Linked DNA regions of Arabidopsis thaliana. The protein of the gene in region 1 interacts with the protein of each later gene in a pairwise test. Each region holds a gene or a part of one and is shown in the gene's direction. Other genes may lie near its edges.

What was found. The genes of interacting proteins can lie anywhere in the genome.
Region 2: the proteins of AT4G02720 (region 1) and AT2G40430 interact in a two-hybrid assay, tested with the Arabidopsis thaliana proteins (one study listed by BioGRID).

Annotation. Positions count from the first base shown.
Region 1 is NC_003075.7:1,203,552-1,207,724, reverse strand, and holds AT4G02720 (Ras-induced vulval development antagonist protein), read left to right. Parts: upstream 1-1,832; 5' UTR 1,833-1,911; coding exon 1,912-3,180; 3' UTR 3,181-3,636; downstream 3,637-4,173. Other genes in the region: AT4G02725 (spindle pole body-associated protein), read right to left, coding at 435-518, 731-872, 1,399-1,670.
Region 2 is NC_003071.7:16,878,659-16,884,479, reverse strand, and holds AT2G40430 (Nop53 protein), read left to right. Parts: upstream 1-1,981; 5' UTR 1,982-2,114; coding exon 2,115-2,283; intron 2,284-2,514; coding exon 2,515-2,684; intron 2,685-2,767; coding exon 2,768-2,819; intron 2,820-2,911; coding exon 2,912-2,937; intron 2,938-3,048; coding exon 3,049-3,132; intron 3,133-3,233; coding exon 3,234-3,344; intron 3,345-3,441; coding exon 3,442-3,524; intron 3,525-3,644; coding exon 3,645-3,735; intron 3,736-3,836; coding exon 3,837-3,888; intron 3,889-3,987; coding exon 3,988-4,078; intron 4,079-4,198; coding exon 4,199-4,321; intron 4,322-4,426; coding exon 4,427-4,549; intron 4,550-4,684; coding exon 4,685-4,751; intron 4,752-4,845; coding exon 4,846-4,953; 3' UTR 4,954-5,007; coding exon of another isoform or gene 5,008-5,014; 3' UTR 5,015-5,264; downstream 5,265-5,821. Other genes in the region: AT2G40420 (Transmembrane amino acid transporter family protein), read right to left, coding at 5,498-5,627, 5,723-5,821. UniProt on the Arabidopsis thaliana protein: May play a role in ribosome biogenesis.

The DNA of each region.
Region 1 (4,173 bases):
GATCTCAATGAATCTCTCACCGTTACATATATATACATTCCGTTGACCATGACCTCTTGGGAATTACATTTTTACCCTTCATTCCTCATTTCTCGTATTGGTGGTTCTTCGGCTCGGTTCGGTTCGATTTGAATTTGTCGATTTTGTTGAACTAAAATTGGTCCGGTTCGTTTGGTTTATTTAGTTCGAAGGCACTTTATTCGGTTGGTTTCAGTAATGAGGTTTCGGTATATTTGGGTTAATTTCGGTTTGTATAATCGGTTCAATTCGATTTTAATGCCCACTACATTAGAGGACTCTGAAATCAAGATTTATGTATCCAAACATCTGTGAATGAAATTGAGATAAATCCATAGATGATGGTTATATTATACACACAACAGAAGGGAAGATTTATGCAAGAAACGAATGTAATTTTGAACATTGAGAAGATCCTATGAAGGCTTGTTTTTGCCGTAAATATCTTCAAAACCATCAGCTACTCGTTTCCTTCTTTCAGCAATCATTTCTGAATACGACTGAACCAAAGTACACGAAAAAACCACCAGAATCTCAAAGACAAGACCAAAGTAAAGTCTTGTTCACTAAGATTATAGAAACTAGCATTGTCTGAAGATGTTTAAACAGGATTTTTACTTTAACTTAGACTTAGTAAATTAGAGCTACGAACATTTCTTTAGTAAGGGAATGAAAAGGAGAGGTTGTTAGATGATGGAAGGGAAAATCATACCTTTGGGTAGCTATAAAGGAATATGTACCACCAAGCACCAATTACACCAACCGCAAGCGATGAAACTATGACCGAGTGTAGTATTACCCAGCTACATGCCACTATTGATAGACCCGTTAACATTATCGTCCATGGCTGACACCTGAGAAACATAGCCAGTTGCTTATTCAAAACCATACGGAAGAACACTAGGCCCTGAAAACGTCTAAGAAGAACCGTAAAGTTCTTGATTGCAAATACACACCAGATCAATAGATATTCAAAGCTGTAGATGCTGAGGTCGAAATGTTAAACCCTTCTTAACCCAATTACCATTACATAATCTGTATTTTGGTTCTTCACTATCTTCCTAACCAAAAGATTCAAACTTTTTCTTTCTATCTTCTAAACCACAACACACAATCATGAAACTGTAATGGGGTAAGTCTTGTTTTAAGTAGCATCAATAAATATATAGCTTCATATATGATTCAAAAAAGTTCTTGGGCAGGCATAAATCACTGAAAATGCTAATAAAGATTAAGGATTGGTCCACTTAAAAGTGAACTTAAGACTCTATCTAAGCTATAATCCCATATTCACAACCAACAAATACGATTCCTCATAAGTCTTAGGACCAAATCCAAACTACTTGAAATAAAATTGTTGGGAACTTAAATGAGATTTACCAAGAGGGTTTAGTGTCCCAAACAGAGTCGTATTCGAGAGAGAGATTGTCTAAGAAACCTTCCATGTCATCAACTACGCCTTTTTCATCGACAAATCTTGAATCCTTCGGCTCTCTCCGATTCCCACCAAAACTTCTAACTTTCGTACTAATCCTTATTGGTTTGAGATTGAACGAGTGTAAGTTCGTTCGGAAACTGAGTTTTGAAAGAAGATTCTCTGTTTGAGGCCGAAACGGCGACAGAGACACGGCGGACATGGAGAGACTTGCCATCTGAAGACGACGATAAGGATAGAGGACTCGATTGACTCTAATTAAAATGTGGGGTGCTTTGTGTAAAATCAAAACATGATTTTCAGTGGTGAATAATGATAAATATTGGGCCTATTCGTTAAGGGCCCAATAAGTAAAAAGGCGCAGATACTGTATATGAATCAAAGCCCTAATTTATCAGACAGCTGCTTAGATTTTGTTTTCTTCATTGTCGTCGTCGGAGTGAATTAGGGATTCGAGAATGACGATGAACTCGCTTCCGAGGAGATTTGGGAAGAATCATGGCTATTTGGATCGAGATTATCGAAACGGAAGACGATCTGGTTCAGATTCCGATGAAGAATTGAAGGGATTGAGTCACGAAGAGTATAGGAGGCAGAAACGGCTTAAGATGAGGAAATCAGCCAAGTTCTGCTTTTGGGAGAACACACCGAGTCCACCTAGAGATCAGAACGAGGATTCCGATGAGAACGCCGACGAGATTCAGGACAAGAACGGCGGCGAAAGAGATGATAATTCGAAAGGGAAAGAAAGGAAAGGTAAATCTGACTCGGAATCTGAATCTGATGGTTTGAGATCTAGGAAGAGGAAGAGTAAGAGCTCGAGGTCTAAGCGCAGGAGAAAGAGATCTTATGACAGCGATAGTGAATCCGAAGGGAGTGAGAGTGATTCGGAAGAGGAAGATAGGAGACGAAGGAGGAAGAGTTCTTCTAAGAGGAAGAAGAGTAGAAGCAGCCGTAGTTTTAGGAAAAAGCGAAGTCATAGGAGAAAGACGAAATACAGTGACTCTGATGAGAGCAGCGATGAAGATAGTAAAGCTGAGATTAGTGCTTCTTCGTCTGGGGAGGAAGAAGATACCAAGTCAAAGAGCAAGAGGCGGAAGAAATCTTCGGATTCTAGTTCAAAACGAAGCAAGGGAGAGAAGACGAAGTCAGGGAGTGACAGCGATGGTACTGAGGAAGATTCGAAGATGCAAGTAGACGAAACGGTGAAGAACACTGAGCTAGAACTTGATGAAGAAGAGTTGAAGAAGTTCAAAGAGATGATTGAATTAAAGAAGAAATCTTCAGCTGTTGATGAAGAGGAAGAAGAAGGTGATGTTGGTCCAATGCCATTACCTAAAGCTGAAGGTCACATCAGTTATGGTGGTGCTTTAAGACCCGGTGAAGGAGACGCCATTGCACAGTATGTTCAGCAAGGTAAACGTATCCCACGTAGAGGAGAAGTGGGTCTTAACGCTGAAGAGATTCAGAAGTTTGAGGATCTTGGTTATGTGATGAGTGGAAGTAGGCATCAAAGGATGAATGCTATTCGTATTAGAAAAGAAAACCAGGTTTACAGTGCTGAAGACAAACGGGCATTGGCCATGTTTAACTACGAGGAGAAGGCGAAGCGCGAGGCTAAGGTTATGTCTGATCTGCAGCGGCTTGTGCAGCGCCATATGGGAGAAGAGGTGGGGCCAAATCATGACCCTTTCGGTGCTGGAAAGACTGAAGAAGATGATGATTGATTTTGCTTGGCTTCCTGCTTCTGTTATGTGGGTACTCATCTTATGCTTTATCTTGTTGAATGTTCCTTATTTGCATCATAGATACTGCTGTTTGCTACTTGCCCGTTAATGAGCTTCGTAGTTTATGCTTTAATCTGCTATGTATCCGTTAATGAGCTTCATAGTTTATGCGTTAATCTGCTATGTATCACATGATTGTGTTTGTGTGTCAAAGATAATAGATTCTGACACTGAGGATCTGCAACCGTTCTTGTGCATTTACCTTAGGTCATGTTCGATGATTGAATTTTGCAGGGCATTCACTTAGTTCTGAGATTGTAGAACAATCAATTATTTAGGATATCCGCTTTGAGCCCACCACTGTATTTTCGAATAATGTCCTTTAATGAGCTTCACAGATTATGCATTCCTCCCTCTGTATTCATATCATTGCGTTTGTCTGTTAAGAATCCAGTCATATCATCATCAATGTTATCATTGTCACCATTATTATCATCATTCTATTTTTAGAACTGTGAAACAAAACAAGTACTTATATATATTATTGGGGATCTCTATAATTGTGAAGTGCAATAATTTCGGAATTTGGAGGCAGATAAAATTTGCAATAATATCCGAATTTGCAGGCAGATCATATTATTGGTAAATTACCTGCAAGGGTTCCAATTATAGTTTATGATTCCACTTTTGTGGAACTATACAATGTCTGAATCTGTTCTCAATAAATGCACTATCTCAATAGAAGACCCTACCAAGTACCTAGTCCATAATCTATTATTCGTTTCATAAATAATAACATATAAATCATTCAAAGAAGCAAAATGATTTTGGTTAAGAATTGAATGACAAAGAAAACGACATCTGTTCAATTTAGAGGAGATTAGCATTTTCGTATTACTATTCAAAGCTTAAAAATAGTATTTAAAAACAAAAAAATTATCAAAGAAATGTCATGTAAAGGTCCTCTTCTCATGCACGAAACGAATGATAATT
Region 2 (5,821 bases), on another chromosome or scaffold:
TGACAGCTATATCTCCTTTGTCTTCCCCCCCCCCTCCCCCCCCGTAATTATATATTTACCCGAGACAAATTGAGATTAGTATCATTTTGGTTTTTACAATATGCACATAAAATCATGTTATAAGCAAAATTTAAAAAAAATATCCAATATTCGTACACTCATAATCAGTAGTTCCACTTGCAAAACGGTCATTGGTTTGTTTCCTACATATTAGGAAAGGATTCTGATTGTACTTGTAAATTTAAGGCTAACATAAATAGTTAAGTATACAATAACTTAGAGTGGTCACTCGACCCATTATCCCTAGTCCTAGTTTTAGTATAAATATGGCATAAATTTTCTAAATGGTTATGAATTTTAGCAATTTGATTTTTCTTAATATAAGAATTTGACCCAAAAAAACTTTGTAGTAGCATAGTTTTGTTAAAAACGAAAATTGATCTTTTATATGTAGCATTAAATTAGTAAGGTTTGTTTTTCTTCGAAAATATAGTATTAGTTATTACTACCAAAAAACGGAATTTATACCTTGTTTTTGAGAAAAAGTGATGTCATCATCAAACTAACATTTGATTGTTCTCTACAAACATTACATTTATACACACACAATTTTTTTTTTTTAAGTTCGTATTTGAATATATTATATTTTGTTATAAATTTGGACATCCAGAACAATACAAAAGCATATGTACTTATATACACATATGTTTCGTCATTTTAAAATTCATTACAATTATATATATTTAAACAAAATCACAAATGAAAAAAATAAAAATAAAAATAAAACTAAAAAATATGATGGTCCTATGGAATCGTAAATACGTATGCAGAAGTAAAATGTTTAGAAATATAAACACGGTTTTTACAAAAACAAAAATTAGAAAACGCAAGAACCTTAAAATCCGTCGAAAGTATCATAAGTTACATAATTCATGTTTGTCAAGACTCAAGACAATATGGTGTATGAATACAATCATATCCATTTTATTATCATAATTCTCATGTTTGAATGTCCAAAAAAAAAAAAAAAAGAGGATTTTCATTACGATCATCATCATTATAACACGTATATTTCTCTCTCGTTGTTTCTTCTCCATGTTGGCACATCAATGTTAAGGACGACTCATTAATTAAACTCCAAGATATAACATATCGGATGGACCATACGTGGGATTTAGAAGAGACCAAAAGGACAAAATAATATTGAACATATCTTAAGAAGAATTTACAATAATATGTTGTAGTCAGGGTTTAGCAATTTGATCTACCCCACTCTCCTCTTGAATGTGACAAAAGAATCAAATGAGAATTAGGTCACGGGGGCGGCTTTATGCTATCAAACATCACTTGTTTTTTTTCTTATCTCTCGATATTTTTTGTATAGTATTTGATCAAATAATAGACATTGTTCAATCATTTACATCCTCATATATATCAAAATAGAATACTGCTGAGACAAAAAAAAAAACGCGTTTATCATTAAGGTTATGACTACATATGCTTACATGTACATATATATGCGTGACGTTTGCATGCCTAATTATAAACTAGTTATAACCAAAACTTATTTGTTGGAATCCCACAAAAATGGGAGAGAACTCACGTTAACAAAATATATGCTCAAGTTTAACATATTGATCAATGTTGTTTATTTACATTAGAATCAGACGATGTCCGATTTTCCGTAATGATCAATGTTATCACTTCAATTTTTTTATTTCACTAACATGTAAGACATGATAACATTTTATACTGTGTTAATCTTTTTATGATAAAATTTTAGTTTTATGTACTTGATTTTTTTTATTTTTTATTTACTAAATACTTTGATGGTTTTTCTGTGAGTATGAAAAAGTGTTATTGTTGCAAAATGAAAAAAAGTAGTATATAACCAAGAAAAAAAAACAAAACTAAATATATGTGGAAAGGAAAATGAATGTACGTACGTCGTAGGAATTAAAAAGTATATGGGCCCATTAAGAGGAAATGGAGAAACGTAAGGCCCATTATGTTTCTCTCTAAGCCCTACCCCTAGTGTGTGTCCTCTTCTTCAATCATCATCTTTTCGATACCGAAGCAGCAACCTTCGCGCCGCCGAGAGATAACGAGAAAAAATGGGGAAGAGGTCGAAAACATCAAGGAAAGGGAAAAAAGCATGGAGGGCTAACATTAGCTCCGAGGACATTGAAGATTTCTTCGAGAAAACTACCAGAGATGCTCTCTCCGGTGGCAATCTCTCCGCTGCTCCCAGCGAAGACTTGTTCCACGTCGATAAATCCCATGGTTTGTTCTTACTTCTCTCTCTCTTTTTCAGCTGCAAAGTTTCAATTTTTCGATACATTAGCATCAGCAGAGTAAGATTTGATGAAGATTAGTTATTTAGCTGCTTGTTAAGATTTGATGGGAGTTATGAGAATGTTTATGATGTGATTGGTATTCAGGAAGTAAAAGAGTATTATTAATGTTTGAAAGAAGGCTTTGTGAATTTGATATTGATTTGATTTTGCTTATCAGACCTTCCGGTGAAGCGAAAGATTGAGAAACATAGAGAGAGAGTGCTCCGTGTTGACAGTATCTTAAAGAAGAATCCATTTGTCCAGTTAGTGCCATCTTCAAAGCCAAAGTTGAAGAAAAGTAAGAAGACAATCGTTATAGAAGACAAAGCACCTAAACAAGTTCAAAAAGTGAGTCATTTGATGATATGATTTCTTACATCTATAAGATATTTCAGGGATCTGATTTCATATGATTTCTCCTTTCTTTGCAGAGTGTTGGTGACGATTCTGTAATGGCCGACTTGTGGGGTGATGATAGTAAAGGTTTGCTTAGTCAATTATTCTGCTTTTTAGTTTTTTTTCTTCTTATCTATGTCATGAATTAACGTTTCCGTTTGCAAAATATTTACTTGCAGGAGAACATGAGAGCAATCCTAGAAAGGTAATGTGTCTTCTGTACTTAAGTTGTTTGCTTTTGTTGTTTCTGTATTGAAAATGTTAGTTGGTGTTAGACAGTTACTCAGTTGGCTAAGAACTTTTGTCTGGTGTACAGATTTTCAAAAATCCTTCGATTATTTCAGCAGTAGAAATTGAACATCCAGGATGCTCATACAACCCTACAACTGAGAGTCACCAGGTAATAATTTATTATGAACTAAGTCTCACAGATTTGAGCTTGTTTTATCATCCTAGTCTTGTGTGTGAATCTTGCATTCACACCTCTTTTCTGTATTGCAGGATATGTTGGCTGAAGCCGTCGCTCAAGAAATGCAGAAAGTTTACAAAACTGAGTTAGGGCCTGCACCTGTTCCTTTGACTATTGAAGGGGATACACTCAGTGAAGATGAGGTGAGTCTTTTGCTTGTATGTTATAATATAATCGATGGAAAGATGAGCATTGAATTTGATAGTTTAATCCATATGGCTGTTGTATTTACCATCTCAGAGGTACTTTCTTGATGTGGACAATTTTAGTGAAGGCGAAGATAATGAAAACGTTGAGAATGAAGTGTCAGAGGCTGGAATTAAGTAAGAAGCTCTCTTATTTACATGTTAACATAAATTTGTCCAAGAGAAAATTATAATTTGTTGACTTACTCCATCAGCAAAGAGTTGGATTTCATGTTTTTTGAAATTCTTATACTGCAGATTAAAGGAGAACCCATTTGTCCAGTTAAAGCCATCTTCAAATACAAACTTGAAGAAAATAGAAGACAAAACACCTAGACAAGCTCAAAAAGTGAGTAATTTGATGATATGTTTTTTTACATGTATGAGATGTTTTGTCTCGAACTTTTTCCTTGGGAGATTATCTTCATATGATTTCTCCCTTCTTTGCAGAGTGTTGGTGACGATTCTGTAATGGTGGACTTGTTGGGTGATGATATTAAAGGTTTGCTTAGTCAATTATTCCACTTTTTAGTTTCTTCGTAATCTTATCTTTTTCTATGTCATGAATTAACATTTCCGTTACAAAACAAATTACTTGCAGAAGACCTGAAGTACTTTCTTGAAGTGGGCAATGTTGGTGAAGGTGAAGATAATAAAGATGTTAAGATTGAAGTGTCAGAGGCTGGGAACAAGTAAGAAGCTCTCTTATTTACATATCAACATAAAATCGTCTAAGATAAAATTGTAATTTGTTAACTTACTCCCTCAGCAAAAAGTTGGATACTCATGTTTTTGAAATTATTGTACTGCAGTGTCTCAAGGAAAACAAAGAGGGTTACCCGTGTGGAATTAAATAAGCGATGTAGGCAAAAGGCACTGCGAAAAAAAGAGACAAAGGAAAAGGCTAAAGAGAAGATATTAAACGAAATTGACAGGTATCTTGTGATTTTAATATATCTTGATGATGTCTGATTACTTATAAAATCACGCCTAGACAAAATCTTGTTTTAATTATTTCGTTCCTGTTTTTGCCTTTATAGCTTGCCCAACATCTTAGAAGAAATAGCCAAAGAAGATGAGGATAAACAGAATAAACATTTACGAAGGGTCATCGCCAAGCAGGAAGTGCTGAAGATACGTCCTCCTCGGTTGGGAAAGTACAAGTATGAAACTAAATCCTTCTTTACATCTATACATTTCTGTTATATTTTCAAGCTTACTAGTGTACTCATTCTGATCAATTATATTTGTAGTTCTGAAAATTGGATTTTTGGGATATTGACTGTTGTTTGTTTCAGATTTGAGGCTCCTCCAGTTCAAGTCCTCTTGACAGAAGAGATGACTGGGTCACTTCGTAAGCTGAAGGTATGACTCCCTGTTCCCTGAAACCAACGTTTTTGGTCCTTGTGAATTTCTTGGTAGCTAAAAAACTGAAGATGTCATCCTTTTTATTTAAAAGGCATGTTGCACTCTTGCAAGAGATCGATTCAAGAGCCTCGAGAAGCGAGGAATACTTGTTCCCTCAAAACAGATTAGAAGGTTAGTTTTTTACGGCAATGACTCATAGAGTGAAATAACGTAAGAATATACTGAGTTCTTACTATGATCATGATTTGTGCAGGTTTTAGGAACTCTTCTCACTGTCTGCAGCTTGTTTGAGAAAAGCTTTTGGAAGAAAACAACAACAAAGACTGTCTCAATCGACTCATATATCTTGTGTTTTAACATAAAGTTTGTTTTACTGTTGTCAAATTTTGAGTTTATGAAAAAAATACAAAAGATTTTGCTACCAATCTTTCTGCTTAATCTCTATATGAAGTATTTTAGTTCGTTGCCCGTGAATCAGCTAAAGACTGGTGAAGGAAAGATCCTTTTGAATAACAAAAAGTTAAATTTTGTACTTAAATGTCATTTTACGAGACATAAAGCATAGTGAGTGTTGGTGCTTAAAAGTTAAAACTCTGCTTCAATCTTATACACACATTTTTCCTGAAGTTGCTATTATAATACACTTCTTACAAACCTATTTTACATACAATAGACATGAATAAATGCAACACAAGCTCTACCATCTAACAAATCCTTGAAGAGAAAGGACTCCAGAAAGCGTTTCATGTTTCTTCTGTTGCTGTGAAAGTGTATATATTTGTCGAAATAGCGATGATACTTGTGGCAACAGCAAGAACAAGCATTACTGAAGCTACAATCTTCTCTCTTAAAGTCGAGAAACCATTTACATTCCTGCCAGTTTCCAAAAACACCAAAACAATGGATAAGATTTAAACTTTATTCATTCAGAATTACATGAGAGGGATTAACCAAAAAGGGTAACATACCGTAGGACAATTGCAGCTGGAAAGATGAATGCTATAGAGACTGTAGAAGTTGATCCCAAGAACTGAAAGAAGTACCAAATGTCTGGTATGGCAATTGCA